Rattus norvegicus: one gene and its partners. The protein of the gene in region 4 purifies or fractionates together with the protein of the main gene of each other region. This does not show direct contact. Links are inferred from orthologs where the notes say so. Each region holds a gene or a part of one and is shown on either strand. Other genes may lie near its edges. The genes, in order: Mpp7, Lats1, Pals1 and Amot.

Region 1 (3,669 bases), on a different chromosome or scaffold from region 4:
CCCCTCAACTTAAACAGAAAAATCAGATTTTCCCTTATATAATATTGGCGGCATCACCGATATATATTCCTAAGGATTTCCTAAGCTATAATATGTGAGCTACTTCCTCAAGAAAAGATTTGAATTTCTTCTTTGTTTTAAGATGTGCATACTTAGGGCATATTTTGAAAGGACAGATCCTTATTTCCAGCCTAGTTAAATCTGTGGATCTGCTCAAGGCTGCCAACCCCATGCTTTCAACCAAGAGCATGCACAGTGAAGGGCTGTGAGTACACCTGAGCGCAGGTGAGGCATGAACTCTGATACACACTGCCTCTCACGTCAGAGACAGAAATAGATTAAAGAAAACAAGGAAATACAAAAGTTTTGCTAAAACTATAGCACTGTGCAGATTTTGACTTAGATTGTATAGTCGTGTGCTTCAAATAAGGCTGTGAAAGACATAAACAAAACCAGCACTGGAATTTTGACTTTGACATTGAAGACTTTACATCTATGACAGTGATACAGATTATTAAAAAAAAAATCCTACCAAAAACATGGTAGTTAACCTAACCATGCAACTCTGCAAAAAGACAGTTAAGGACATTTCCCCTGAGTTAAGAATGTAACCAGCTCACTGGGACCCAATGGGCATCAGTCTCTAGTTTGTCAAATGTTGTTTTTAGCTCATTAAATGCTACAGTAAGATCATCGTTTATTATGATTTTGTCAAAAAGATGGCCATATTGACTTTCCATTATCTGTGCTGATTTGATCATTTCTTGAAAGTCTTCTTCCTATTAAAAACAAATAATGACAAATTAAGTAACCAGGCAACTGCATCACATAAATGAAAACATTCTATAGTGACTTTACCTAAAGCTGTTATGTGTTCAGACTTTAAATGAAGTAAAAAACCAAAATCACCTTCACTACTTTTTTAGAGGTTTTAACTGCTAACACCAACTTTAATTAAACTCCCCTCAGGGTCATACCTAACTCACCATTACACGGACACATTGCTATTGTCATAGATATCAAGGGTGCTGTTGACTCTTATTGCTCTGGCTTGGCACTATTTATGTTTGTTCACAAGAAATAATGCATAATACAAACTACTTTCTTAATGTTGAAAGCATTACAAGATAATAGTTCAAATGCCCCTTCTGTGGTCCGGTAAAAGTGTTTCAAAAGCCCTGAGGGGCCACATAGATTTTAAAATGCCAGGTGCTATTTTAGCTAGGTATAAAAGTCAGGATTGTACATTAAAAAGCATAAGCCACATCCTCAGACTATGCCATCATTTACAAATTATGTTTATTGAGAGATAACTTTAGTGCTAGTCAACAACTTAAAATAACTAGTAACATGTGACAGCATCTGTCTCTTAAGGACAAATGTCATCCTTTTAGAACAAAGCGCAGGAATTGGTCAAAAGCAAGACCCATGCTTTATAACTAAAATCAACAGTTCACAGATTAACAAAGTCTAAACTAAAATTAATTAGATGAAAGAAAAATGGGGGTTAATATTTATTTGTTGGATTTTTTTACTCAAAGGTAAAATTTGAGAAAAATGAAAACAAAAACAATGAAAGGTTTGCCAAGAGTCAATGATGGGCCAGCCTGACTCTTAAAAATTAGAAGCCATCTTATTACAAGGTCAAAATAAGTTCATTCCTGTTTTCTATAAAATATAAATTTGACTAGGTCTTCACCCATTTTCTGGAATTTGTCATGTTCCACACCCTGGTAAGATAAGACGTTCCAAATAATTTTAGAATGTTCAGCCAAGTTCTTATGTAACCAGAATTCCTCTGGAAAGCCCCCAACCACTGAAAATCCCCTAGTCTTGTAGGTATTTTTTAGCTATATAAACCCTACCTTCTCCTGTGTTTCATGTTATTTTCTCAAACCCTGCTACTGGGAGACATCCTTATCTGATAGAAAATAAACCTTGAATAATTTTAGCAAAAATTTGAATAATGATCTTCATTTTCATTCAGTGAGATTAATATCAGAACAGTCACAAAGATCTGAAGCCATAGCATCTAATGGCATTTGTAAGAAATATGAATGTCATCAGGAGACAGAGTAGGCCTCCTGATCCTATGACCCAAATGGTGCTTCTATGTTGTGGTGTAATTAAATAAGCAGCAGAACCAGTTCCCATGCACTCTCACTTGGTGTGGATCCTCAGAAGCCACACACTCTGGCTGTTTCTCTGTCAGTCGCTTTCATACACTGTCCCCTTGGTGGGTTGTTACCAACATACATCGTGTTCTGCGTGCCATTCTATCACGGCACCACGCCATGCTAGCCTCAGGCATTCTATAGCCTAGCACGGCTTCCAGAACTGAGACAGGTTGTCTCTCTGCCCACCAGAAACTTGGTTCACATCCCCCATAGTCTGGTAAATCAAAGTTCTAAAAACTTGTTGTTTAACAATTAGATTTATATGTTAAATTCTCAATCTACAATACATCCAATTTCAAAGTTAAACAGCCTGAGTAGGCTATGAGACTATAATTAGTCTTAACCCCATCAGAAATCTGAGAACGACCCAATATCTATAAACATAGGAAGCCTAACATGGCTTCCGAACTGAGACAGGTTGTAGAGACTAATTTCCACTAGCACAGTCCCGTTAGCAACACATGAGAGCAAGTCTTCAGCCTTCTGGCCTAGGATCATCTGACAGACTTCTGAAACACAGAATTTTGAAGGGCTGACCACTCTGGTTTGGTAGAAATTATCAGTCAACTTATTCTGTAACGTGTCCTTCTCAGACAGCATTGAGTCTGTAGATGAGTTGAGGCGATTCTTGCCCAGTGGCTATGCTGTCACAAGGTATTACCTCACCTGGAGGTAGAGATGCCCAAATTCTTCGTTAAATCCACCACAGGGGACGTGTTAGGAGCAGATATGTCTCAACAAAAAATAAATAACTTTAAATGTCATATTTTGTGAATTTCTGTTTTGAAAACCATCTATCTATATAAGGTAATTTGGACTGTTGTCCATTAATTGTCTTAATAATTACCTTGAAAGCACGCTAACAATAAACTTAGAGCCATGAATTGGCTAACAGAGACGACGGAGGAAGATGATTCCGATCCAGGTGGTCTGGGTCAATTCTATCTTGTCTAGGTGGGCAGTTTCTATCTTTAGTAATTGGCAGTGAATTTATTCTGTGGATGTATTGAGGATGGAGAATTTAACATATAAATCTAAATGTTAAATTAAAAGTTTCTGGAACTTTGATTTTAACCATGCCAAAGAGGACAGCATGTGAAAGTAACGGCAGAGAGTCGGCTGGAGCGTGCGGATCTGGTTCTGTAGCCCTGGTGGAGTGAGAAATCACAGGGCCTGCAGAACGAGATATGTGTGTGTGTCAGGTGTGGTAACTACCGCCTAGGGGACCTTGAAGAGAGGGGGCTAAAAGGGAGACAGCCGGGAGTGGACAGCCTGGGGACCATGTGGCAGAGTAGCAGCCAGAGCGTGGGAACTGTTAGAAAAAGTTTCTTTTTAAATTTTTACTGCAACACTTCTACTTTTTACTGTGTTAAAATGTAAAATATAAGGCAACAAAGCAAATTATTACAGTTTTTGTTTAGACTATTAAGAAATAAACAGAAACTTATTTAGAAACATTTAGCTTTAAAAAAGGTTAAATAATATAAATGAT
Region 2 (3,568 bases), on a different chromosome or scaffold from region 4:
CTGTACCACAAAGGCACCCGTATGTGGCAGGGGCTGGGCCTGAACCCAGGGCTCTGTGTGTGTTAGGCAAGTGCTCTCCCTCTGAGCCACACCCCCAGCCCCTGGAAAATGTACTTTCTTAGTGAGTACATACACAAAAATTCTAATAACAATTTTACAAACTGAAAATAATTTCTTTGCTTAGGGGATGGAGATTTTTCTTCAAATTTTAAGATACAAATATTACAGACCTTAGTTTTTCAGTTTGAAAATTCAATTTATGGCAACTTTGTTCCCTTTTAAAACTGGAAACAGTTGGGTGGTGGGTGGTGGGTGGTGGCACACACCTTAAATCCCAGCAAATGGGAGGTAGAGGCAGGTGGATCTCTATGAGTTTGAGGCTGGCCTGGTCGCAAAGCGAGTTCCAGGATAGCCAGAGCTACAAAGAGAAACCCTGTCTCAAAACCAAAAACCAAAACCAAAACAAACCAAAAACAAAAACTCAAAAAATAAAACAAAAACTCAAAAGCAGCATTAAAACCAATAAAGAAACAAAACTAGTAGTGCTCTGGCTTCTTTTAAAGCCGGTATTTGAAAGAAAAATGCTAGGTTAAAGATTTCTGAGGAGGGAAGGGGCAGACTGCATTATTTCTAGTGAACATGCTGTTTTTGCTCTGTATTTGTGATTCCAGGACACGACTTCCAGATTAGAATTACTCTAGGAACAGCTTCTAAAATGATGGCTTGATTTCTTTAGCTCAGTGTGAACTAAAACCAAAGTTACAAGGGAAATACGGATATGTTTCATATTTGGTTAAAGCAAGATAAAACTGTCTTTCAAAAATCTTCAAAAACTCTTGAACATATATACAAAACATACCAGGCTTCTCTTTTTAAACAGAGCACTATTTTTTAAGTACTTTAAGTACCAAGAACTGACTACAATACTCAGTTCATAATTTACTTTCCTTATAACAATTTATTCTAAATTACTGAATTAAAAGGGTGGAATAAATTAACATTTTAAAACAATTTCCCATAACTTAGGAAAATAAAATATTGTACACAGAGCACACAAACTCTGTCACATTTGCATAATCTTCTCAAAACCTCAAAAACCCCTGCATTTCAGGCCTTTCTGCAAATTTTTACAATTATCTCCCAGTTTATTAAACATACACTAGATCACGGTTGTTTACATCTGAGCCTGTGTGTTGATCGTCTTCATCGGACTGCTGCTCTGAGCCCTGGGAACTAACGTATTCATATTCGATGGGCTTTGGATAATTATATGGGTAGCCATTGTCATCAAAGAACCTCCGAAAGGTAAACTCATAGAAAGCATGCTCAGGGTGCTTTCCGTTTTTATACCATCCGTTCAGAGTGTCGTTGATATTTTCTTCCTCGTTACCATCGCTCCACAACTTATCAGGGTCAACAGGGTCAAAATTGGACGTGTCTGTTGGGTGCGTGATTTTGGGGATGTATGAAGCAGACTGCTGTCTCAGATCACTAGAGAAATCAATGGTCTTAAAAAATGGATGAGCCTTTATTTCATCAGCACCGTTCTTGCCTAGACGGTCTTCTGGTCCTCGGCAAAGTTTGATAATGAGGTCAGAGGCTTCAGGACTGAGCTTGGCTTGAGGTGGGATGTGAAGAGAAGTTTGCCAGTTGATAACCTTGAAAGAAGAGTTTTAAAAATTAGGACGAGATGAAACACAACAATTTCCTAAGTTTTGTACCAAATGTCTTACTGGACTGCTTGGTTTTCTAAGTAATTTGCATGGTACTTTATCTTTAATAATAAATCACTGCTAAAAAAACACACCTTCTTGTATCCTCTCCTCGTAAGGAGACTCATAATAAGGTTGTCTGCTTTGCTTTGTCTGATATTTTTTGGTTTGTGTTTTGAGACAGGGTTTTTGTGTGTGTAGCCCTGGCTGTCTGGGACTAGCTCTGTAGACCAGACTGGCCGCTAACTCAGAGATCCGCCTGCCTCTGCCTCCCTAGTGTTGGGATTAAAGGCCTGGGCCACTGCTGCCCAGACATCTGTTTGGGTTTTGAGACAGGATCTAGTAGCCTTGGCTGTTCTGCAACTTGCTAATAAGTAAATCAGGCTGTCCTGGTACTCACAGATCTTCCTCTGTCTACCAAGTCCTGGAATTAAAGGTGTGTACAGCTATGCTAGGCTTAAACAGGTTGAACATTCCCAATCCAAAAACTCCAAAATCTGAAACATTTTAAAACATAAAAATTCGGGGGCTGCAGAGATGGCTCAGCAGTTAAGAGCTCTGGCTGTTCTTCCAAAGGTCCTGGGTTCAATTCCCAGCAACCACATGGTGGCTCACAACCATCTGTAATGGGATCCAATGTCCTCTTCTCGTGTTTCTGAAGATGGCTACACTGTACTCATATACATTAAATAAATAAAGAACATAAAAATTCTTAATGTTGATATGATATCATAAGTAGAGAACTCTATACCTGAGCTATGTGGATTGCACTCAAAAAGGAACTGGGGTACAACTCAATGGCAGAGCACACTAGTTTAGCATATCCAAGGTCCTGGGCTTGAATTCAACCACTCCAAAAAAACAAAACCATATAGAAATAAAAGTACACTAAAACTGTAATATAAAAATATCATCGTATTTGACATATCAAATGAACTTCATGTTTAAACATGGGACCTATCCCTAAGAAATCTGTGGGTCTATGTAAACATTTAAAAATCTAAAGCCAAAGGCAGATCTCTATGAGTTTGAAGCCAACTGATCTATATGGTGAATTCCAAGTCACGCAGAGCAACACACTTGAGAGACCCTGTCTGAAAACGAAACAATATCTGAAAGAATGTGAAATACTTCTGTCTCAATGATTCAGGAAAGATACATAAGTACACAGCACATTTAAAGATTCATGGTAGAAGGCTGAGGATTTTTCATGCAGGTCCTATACCTTACCTTCATTTGGGTTTCTAATGGTGTTTGTGCCAAGAAAGGAGGTTGTCCCACCAACATTTCAAAAAGAATAACACCAACACTCCACCAATCACACAGCTGTGTATATCCTAAAAGTACCAAAATTATTCGGTTATTCACAAGAATGCTTTTAAAAAATGTTCAGAATACAAACATTAGCATTAAGTCAACAATTTATAATGTATAATCAAGACTTTTATCTTTAACCTGAAAGGAACAGGTATATTCTAGAGTAAGATTGGCTGATTTAAAATACTACTGAAATACTTGTGAAAAAGTAGATGCTTCACCTGTCCGTAGTAGCACTTCAGGTGCTATATAGTTGGGAGTCCCAACCAGAGAGTGAGCTAGACATCGCTGGTGCTGGCGAGCAGCTCTCCGCTCTAGTGGCTTCAGTCTGTCCCCACACCGACAGTTGGAAGGATCTCCCCATTCGCTACTGAAATCCATGCTATCTTGCCGTGGGTGATCCCCTGTGCAAGAAAAAGAAAAAATCAAATGTAGCAGTAAGGACAACAGTAACGTCAAGTCTGTTTAACCTCTGGTCACGATGCAGGGCTAGTAATATTCTCCTGTGATGGGTAGGTGTGTGAAGGACACCACATCCC
Region 3 (4,181 bases), on a different chromosome or scaffold from region 4:
CATCAATCTGGTGCCCAAATCTCCAGGGCAGTCAACAGCCATCTCTCTGTGTTTCGGATGTTCCTCTGGTGATGCAAGACCAAGATTTTTTATTCCGCTGTCTGATTCCTCTGTCACATGCCCATTCATATACGATGTTGTCATGGTTATCTATAAAAACCTCTATCACTTTTTATATATCAAAATTTCCTATAAAGCCAATTCTCTTGATTCTGTAGTATAAAATCCATGTTACTTCAAAAAAGAAAAATAACTTCTCATATCACATAATAATGCTATGAAATGTATCCATGAGGCAAATCTAAGAGGGAAAGATGGAGGGAAAAGTGTAAGAATTGTAATATAAAAACAAACTTTATATAGCCCATTTCCAATTTCTACACAATATAGAGAATATCAGGTACTTGATATAGTTATTAATACAGACTCCAATGTTGAGGACATTGACTATTTTTTTTTAAAGTTGCCTCTCAAAACTATGAAGCGTACTGTTTGATCTTGCAGCTAAGAAAACTGATACACTGAAAAGTTTAGCAAAGTGAGAAAAGTGAATTGGTTTGCTATAAGTTTTGTAGAGAATAGGTGCTTTGTGGATAGACATTTCAACAGCAACTTTAAATATCTCAACTTTATGCTTAATTAAAACACAGAGTTAGTACCTGTGAGAACAGCTGATTATAATTTAGTACATAGCACAAGCCATCTTAGTGGCTAACTTGAAACACAGAAAAGTATTTCTGGGTAAAACTATTTTTTTTAAAGTGGCTTTTGCAATGAAAAAGATGCCCAAAGAACAATAAGGTTTATCAGCAAAGGTATCCAAGGACAAAACTACATAGATGAGAAAAAGACTACACAGAATATCAGTCTTATAACTGGCGATACATGAAGAAAGTGAAGCTGAACCTCATAAGGAGTCATTCAGAGGGAATGGTATAGCACGTGTAGCAGAAGGAGCACACAGACAGGAAGACTGGACTTTCATTTCCCTCTACCATGTTTCCTAGCCTGTTGTTTAAGACAGCCAGCTTTTCTCTCAACCTGAGTAACTTAGAAGATTAACTTCACAGAACTTCTCTTAGTTTTAAAAAACATAATGTATGCAAGTTATAAAATATAGATAAGTACTATTAATATTAACTTGATTCTATATTAAGAGTCCTCCAACAAAAATTAAAATAAAAACGTATTTTATTCAATGGTACTAGCTTTTCATCAACCCACTTAGGCATAAATATGCAGGCTGTTTATGTGTGCAAACCCACACATTAAATTTAATTAGCTTCTTCTGCCCAGGCTTTAAAAATATTTACACTAATGAGCTTACTGCCTCCCTGAGCTGAGCATCATTTCGGCAAGTATGCTTAGAGTACAGTGCTGACTCAGTAAAATCCAAGTTTTCAGGCAGTATTCCTAATACTAGTCAACCTTCTTGCATATGTCCTTACAATGCAATAGGGAGAAAAGACAAACTAGGTAATACAGTGAACACCTACATAGGCTCTAGAAGAAGCACCAAGGCCGACAGTCAGGAAAATAGATATGAATTACACCAATGACTAAAATTATATTTTTACAGACAGATTATCCTCCACCTAAACTTAAAGTCTTTTACATATAATGACCTCAATACCATTAGATTGTCTTCTTTCCCATTAAAATGAGAGCTATGAAATTTATAGTAGGTGATCCTTAAGCTTTTATACATTATAATAATTATAAAAAGTATAAATTAAACTGGATACAGTTTATTTAATGTTTTCATTATAAGTGAATAAATTTATGTAGGAGTTACTATACTGCTATGGCTAATTTTAAAAACCTAGGAGTTTATACATTTTCAAAAATGAACTCTTACTTTTTTCATTTATTATTAGTGGATTTTAAAAAGTACATCTATTCACTATGCCAAATCATAGAAGAAAGCTATACATAATTATCTACATCAGAATTCTCATGGTTAGACTATTATCACACTTGTCTACATGGATCTAGTCTTTTATTCTCAGTAGATTTCTGCAACTAGTATTATCAACTTAACATTCTATTTTAGTTCTCTCTCCTAAGTTTTAGTTTAGTGAGAGACAGAAAAAGAAATTAAACGACTATTTTCCTCATCAGATTCTAATACATTAGAAAACATTTTCCTTATATGTCTTATTTTTACATGTCTAGTACTTAGCGTAAAATGTGTGCTAGAGAAAATGTCCAAGAAATATCTGTTCAACTAAACTAAGACTATTTTAAGTTCAAAGAGGATACAGACATCTAAAACAGAGTGATAAGAAACAAGGAAGTTATAAGGATATAGTTATTTGTGATGCATTTTTGAAGGACAACCATCCATACAGAAGTAGAACTGTTGCAGATAAATGGAAATTACAATGACCAAATGATACAGATGGCCGAATGCAAACCTCAATACCCAAAAACGACCATTTGTATAAAGCTAAAACAAAGCAGTTTAGTGGGAAAAATTGTTTCTTATATAACCTTAAGTTTTAGGCAGAGGGAGGCAGGAAAGACAGACTTCATATGCATGAATATGTTCACTCCCTAAGTAGAGTCTAACCCTGTCTCCCCCCACCCTGTTCATCTTCGCTTCTCTTTTCTGGCATGTAAAGCCCTTTGACCAGCAGCTGGAAAGTCTCATTTTAAGTGATCAGCATTCATCTGACATTTTAAGAGGCTGGACTATGTTACCATAGAAACAGCTTTGTCAGCTAATACAGAACTCAGGCCAAGAATAGCGAAAAGAACTTACATTATGCAAACTGGAAAACCTCGTCTTCAATCCTTGTTTCTCTTCTCTGTCTTTCCCCCCAATATTCAGGTTAGCTTTCTTATTCTGCAAAACTGAAAAGGAAATAATTAACTGAGTGTAAAAGCATGCAACTAACCAAGTATAAAAATCTGCAGTCTTCCACGGAGAAGTGAGAAGAAAGGTTAACTCAGCCTAACATTCAGTCTTGCAGATAGGATTTTTTGCAGTTATAAATGCATACTACTATCATCCCAGTCACTGACAGATAGTAATTAAAATCGATGTGCTATATATCAGTGTTACTGAAAATGGTAAGTAGTGGGGCTGGAGAGGTAGGGTGGCTCAGCTGTTACTGGCTGTTCTTCCAGAAGACCTAGGTTAAAGCCCCAGCACCCACAGGTAACTCTAGTTCTTCGGGATCCACCACTCTTATATACACATATGCAGGCAAACACCAACGCTGCAATCTTACCAGTTCCACTCTTAGGTATAAACCTAAAACATATATCACCTACACAATATACAATCTGTACAATAGTATAAAACATCTATGGCGATGTTATTAACATAGCCAAAGCAGAGAACCTACAAATGTCCATTAACTGACATAAATAACAAGGAACATATACATACACGAAATAATGAATAAATAAGAAAATGGAAGCTCTAAAACAGGCTATAGCAGAGACAAACCTCAAACTCAAGTTTAAAAAAAGTCCATCATGCTGGGCTTAATGACAGATGCTTTTATTGCCAGCATGGGTCTCTGTGTCAGGTCAGGCCAACCTTGGCTACATGAGACCCTGTTTTTGGTGCTATCAGAGGCTGCGTACAGGCGTGCGTGTGTCTGTATGTGTGTATGATGGCGGGGAGGGGGAAGGGGAAGCAGCTAGTCAAAGGGAGATGGTTCAGTTGGTAAAGTGCCTGCCATGAAACAGTGAGGCCCTGAGTTCATAGTCCTAGAACCAATATAACTTTTCTTCCACTAGGCTGTTTTTGGTCACTGTATTTACCAGCAATAGAAACCAAACTAAAACAACAACAAAACCATTAAAATTAAAACGACTAGCTGTACTAAGCACTGAAAGAAGGTGTGGAGAGACTGAAACTCTTACTTGATAGTTCATGGGACTCAGTTCTCTCCTTCTACTATGTGGGTCCAAAAATGAAACCTGGGTTTGAAAGGCTTACCAGCAAGCACCTTCACCCACTGAGCCTTCTCTTCAGCCCTACATAAGCTATTTTTAAAACTCACTAAACTGAACACTTAAAATCAAATGTTAATGTAAGTTTTGCCTATTTATCAATTTCAAAGGAAAACAAAATCTTATTAAGGTAGGAAGGCATCTCTAAGAGTCAGGTATACAGTTCAGTCACTAGAATTCTTCCTTAGTATGTATGCAACTCTGTGTTCAAA
Region 4 (3,568 bases):
TCGATATTGAGACCAGCTACATCAGTAGAGTAGGGCAAGCTGTTTATTCAGAAATGATGAACTTGATTGTGTAGCCTGCCGACCTCCTACCTCTTTACCCCTGCCAGTCTGTTACCTAAGGTTTGATGTGATGGCCTTAATAATGAACATTCTTGCTAACTGTGGAGTTCCAGGTAGGGTTGCTTTTTCCTGGATTTTATAATTGTTTTCCATTTGTATTCCATTCTGAGGTATTCCTTGTAGCAATAATTCTATAATACAGATAATCTGTCAACAAAATATCTGGGGATTATGGCACCCAGTGTCTTTTATAGACTCAGTGTCATTTATTACTACCTGGAAGTCATGCCTTACTAGTAGAAGACTCTTATCTTCTCACTGAACTTACTGTTATTATGGACATACTCCTTTACTAGAGAATGACTTCTTTCATACATGGCCTTTCTATTTGCCAATATTTGACTTTGATCTTCTAGGGTGTCCACAGAAATTTTTAGATGCTCTCTTATGTCTACTTGGCAGTCCAGAGGATGTGCTATTTTATTTTCCTTTAAGCCTTAACACACTGACCCTTGCCTCCAACTAAGAATTCACTACACCAGCCCTTAATAGAAAGGATAATAGGAATACAAATCCATGTAGGCGGTGAGATTAGAATGGAGAAGTAGTAACCAAGTCTCTGTGTGTGCTTTTTCTTTGTCTCCTAGGATTAAGACCCTCCATGCGCAGATTATTGAAAAGGATGCCATGATCAAGGTGCTGCAGCAGCGCTCCAGAAAGGAGCCTAGTAAGACAGAGCAACTGTCATCCATGCGGCCAGCGAAGTCTCTGATGTCCATTTCCAATGCTGGATCAGGCCTGCTTGTACACTCATCTACATTGACTGGTGTGCCCATCATGGAGGAGAAGCGAGACGACAAGAGCTGGAAGGGGAGCCTAGGTAAGAAAAATGATAGGAACAGAAGCAAGGGTACAGTGACATACCTAGAAAGTATCATGGCTCTGTTCCACGCAGCAAGGAAAAGGACAATGGTCCAGCTTCTAGAGAGGAGAGTTTGGGGTTATTTTTTTCTCCTCATGGAACTAGATGCATAAGGAGGACTCTGAAGTCTCATGGTGAGAACAGTAACTGAAAGACTGAAAATATGAGAATCCTGTGTTCTTTAGGGTTGGGAAAGAACCGAACTTGACTTTTATGTAAAAAAAAAAAAATTCTTGTATTTGGCTTTTGCCACATGGGAACTTTGTTCAAAACTCAAATGGACTTTATCTCAGGCAAAATTCAAAATTACAGCATCGCTATGTTCCTTCCTCTCCTATGGAAAGAGGACCCAAAATTCTCTTAAGGCTAATGAAGTCACGTGTCAGCTTTTCTTACCAGAATGTTCAGATAAGAGAACAGAATGTACTTCTTCGTTCAATTCCTGTCCATTTTATCCCCTCTAATTAAAGCCTCGGAGTACCTTACATACTGAGACACATTTTTGATCCAAAGGAAGCAAACAAATGATATATTTCAAATCTTTTGGTGTTTTTAACTCCTTTCTTGATCCAATGAATGCAGTATCCTTTAGTCAGAGTTCTTTGAGCCCTGGTCATGTTTGGAACCGTACGTTACACAACTCAAAACACCCTTATTGGTATCCACAGACTCCCCATGCCACTGAGTTATTTTCATCTCTCTGGTGAATGTGGGGTATTATGACTGGTACAAAAAAAAGACCTCTGACAAGTTGGTCTTCCGAAATCACTAATGAAAAAGAAGTGTAACTGATACCCAGGACACTTAGAGGTTTAATGTTATGTTGTTAATTGAATAATAAAGACAAGAAGGGATCTAAGTCCAAAAGCAACTCTTAGCTGGGATGTAAGAGAGAGAGGATCCCAGAGGTTCACTAGAGGCAAAACCAATCACGTTTGGAAGAAAACTATCAAATATTTTCTTTTCCTCAATTCCCGAAAAGGGCAAATAGTTAATCAGTATCTAGAGAAAAATCACCTCCCATCCTCTTGTTCCTTGCTTCACCCTTAGGCATTCTTTTGGGTGGAGACTACCGTGCTGAGCCTGTGCCATCCACACCTTCCCCTGTGCCTCCATCTACTCCTCTACTCTCAGCTCATTCGAAGACTGGCAGTCGCGACTGTAGCACCCAAACTGAGCGCGGATCAGAGTCCACCAAAACTGCAGCTGTCACTCCCATCTCGGTTCCAATGGCTGGTCCAGTTGCTGCTGCTGCTCCTGCTGCTGCCATCAATGCAACTGCTGCCACCAACACTGCCACTGCTGCCACCAACACCACTATCATGGTAGCTGCTGCTCCAGTTGCTGTTGCTGCTGCTGCTGCTCCAGCTGCTGCTACTGCCACCCCATCTCCAGCAAATGCTGCTGCTCTTGCTGCTGCTGCTGCTGCTGCTGTCACTCCAGCTACTCCTGTCTCTGCAGCTACCTCTGTCTCTGCAGCTACTTCGATCTCTCAGGCTGCTCCTGTCTCTCCAGCTGCTCCTGTCTCTCCAGCTGCTCCTGTCTCTCCAGCTGCTGCTGGTCAGATTGCAGTTGCTGCATCTCTTACTTCTGCTACCGTTTCTCCAACTCCTGCTGCTGCTACTGCTGCTGGTGCAGCTGCTGGTGCTGGTGCTGGTGCTGGTGCTGGTGCTGCCGCTGGTGCTGCTGTTGCCACTGTTGCTGCTGCTGCCACCACTACTGCTATTCAGGTTGCTCCAGCTACTTCGGCTCCGGTTCCATCTCCAGCTTCGATTCCGGCTCCAGCAACGGCTCAGGCTTCTGCTCCGACTCCGACTCAGGCATCAACTCCAGCTCCGATTGAACCTCCTACTGCAGTTCCGACTCCAACTCCAGCTTTGGTTCAAGCTGAGGGTCCTGCAAGTCCAGGTGCCAGTTCCGGACCACGCCGTCTGTCTACACCAAATCTGATGTGCAATCCAGATAAGCCAGGTAGTCACAATTTTCTTTAGCAGGCATCTTCTGGTGGTGTTCTCGGGTGTACATCTATCAGCTGATGCCCGCCATTTTGACAGAGTTGAACACTGCATGATCCAAAGGGTCAGAGGAAAGAAAAGATGTTCTGGAAATGCCTTCTGTCACTCGCTAAAATGGGAATGGTCAAGAGCAGAGGCCATTTTTCAGTAAGGAAAAGGATAGGCATGTCTGTAGTGGCAAGTTCCATTTAGAAATGAGTTTTGTAATGGTTCTTAACATGGTTTGCTGAAAGTTAATCTTTCCTTTCTGCCTAAGTCTTTTCTAACCCTTCGTTTCCATTCAGATGGTCCTGCTTTCCACTCCAGCACTCTGGAAAGGAAGACACCCATTCAGATCCTGGGGCAAGAGCCTGATGCAGAGATGGTGGAATATCTCATCTAAAGGCCACATCAAGCGCTGGAGTTATCAGCAAGAGTTCTTTTTAATAATGTTTCCCTTTCATTTGTTTAATCTGGGGTGAAGATGGGGTTGGGAGGTGGGGATGATTTTTCTAAAGGGACTTTTTATTGGACTCTGGTAGTACATAAGTAATGCCATAGAAATGAATTCCAATCTATTTTGGAATCCTTA

What was found.
Region 1: the proteins of Amot (region 4) and Mpp7 purify together in Homo sapiens (affinity purification with mass spectrometry; 3 studies listed by BioGRID and IntAct, with this or other methods). This does not show direct contact. The link is inferred for Rattus norvegicus from reciprocal best matches to the Homo sapiens genes AMOT and MPP7.
Region 2: the proteins of Amot (region 4) and Lats1 purify together in Homo sapiens (affinity purification with western blotting; 3 studies listed by BioGRID and IntAct, with this or other methods). This does not show direct contact. The link is inferred for Rattus norvegicus from reciprocal best matches to the Homo sapiens genes AMOT and LATS1.
Region 3: the proteins of Amot (region 4) and Pals1 purify together in Homo sapiens (affinity purification with mass spectrometry; 6 studies listed by BioGRID and IntAct, counting the BioPlex papers as one, with this or other methods). This does not show direct contact. The link is inferred for Rattus norvegicus from reciprocal best matches to the Homo sapiens genes AMOT and PALS1.

What each region holds. Positions count from the first base shown.
Region 1 is NC_086035.1:60,137,150-60,140,818, forward strand, and holds the end of Mpp7 (MAGUK p55 subfamily member 7), read right to left. Parts: intron 780-3,669; coding exon 600-779; 3' UTR 552-599; downstream 1-551. UniProt on the Homo sapiens protein: Acts as an important adapter that promotes epithelial cell polarity and tight junction formation via its interaction with DLG1. Involved in the assembly of protein complexes at sites of cell-cell contact.
Region 2 is NC_086019.1:4,008,270-4,011,837, reverse strand, and holds part of Lats1 (serine/threonine-protein kinase LATS1), read right to left. Parts: intron 3,434-3,568; coding exon 3,251-3,433; intron 3,050-3,250; coding exon 2,943-3,049; intron 1,659-2,942; coding exon 1,149-1,658; 3' UTR 1-1,148. UniProt on the Homo sapiens protein: Negative regulator of YAP1 in the Hippo signaling pathway that plays a pivotal role in organ size control and tumor suppression by restricting proliferation and promoting apoptosis.
Region 3 is NC_086024.1:103,326,642-103,330,822, reverse strand, and holds the start of Pals1 (protein PALS1), read right to left. Parts: upstream 2,859-4,181; 5' UTR 2,765-2,858; intron 302-2,764; 5' UTR 145-301; coding exon 1-144. UniProt on the Homo sapiens protein: Plays a role in tight junction biogenesis and in the establishment of cell polarity in epithelial cells.
Region 4 is NC_086039.1:113,782,338-113,785,905, reverse strand, and holds part of Amot (angiomotin), read left to right. Parts: intron 1-707; coding exon 708-940; intron 941-2,032; coding exon 2,033-2,953; intron 2,954-3,281; coding exon 3,282-3,379; 3' UTR 3,380-3,568.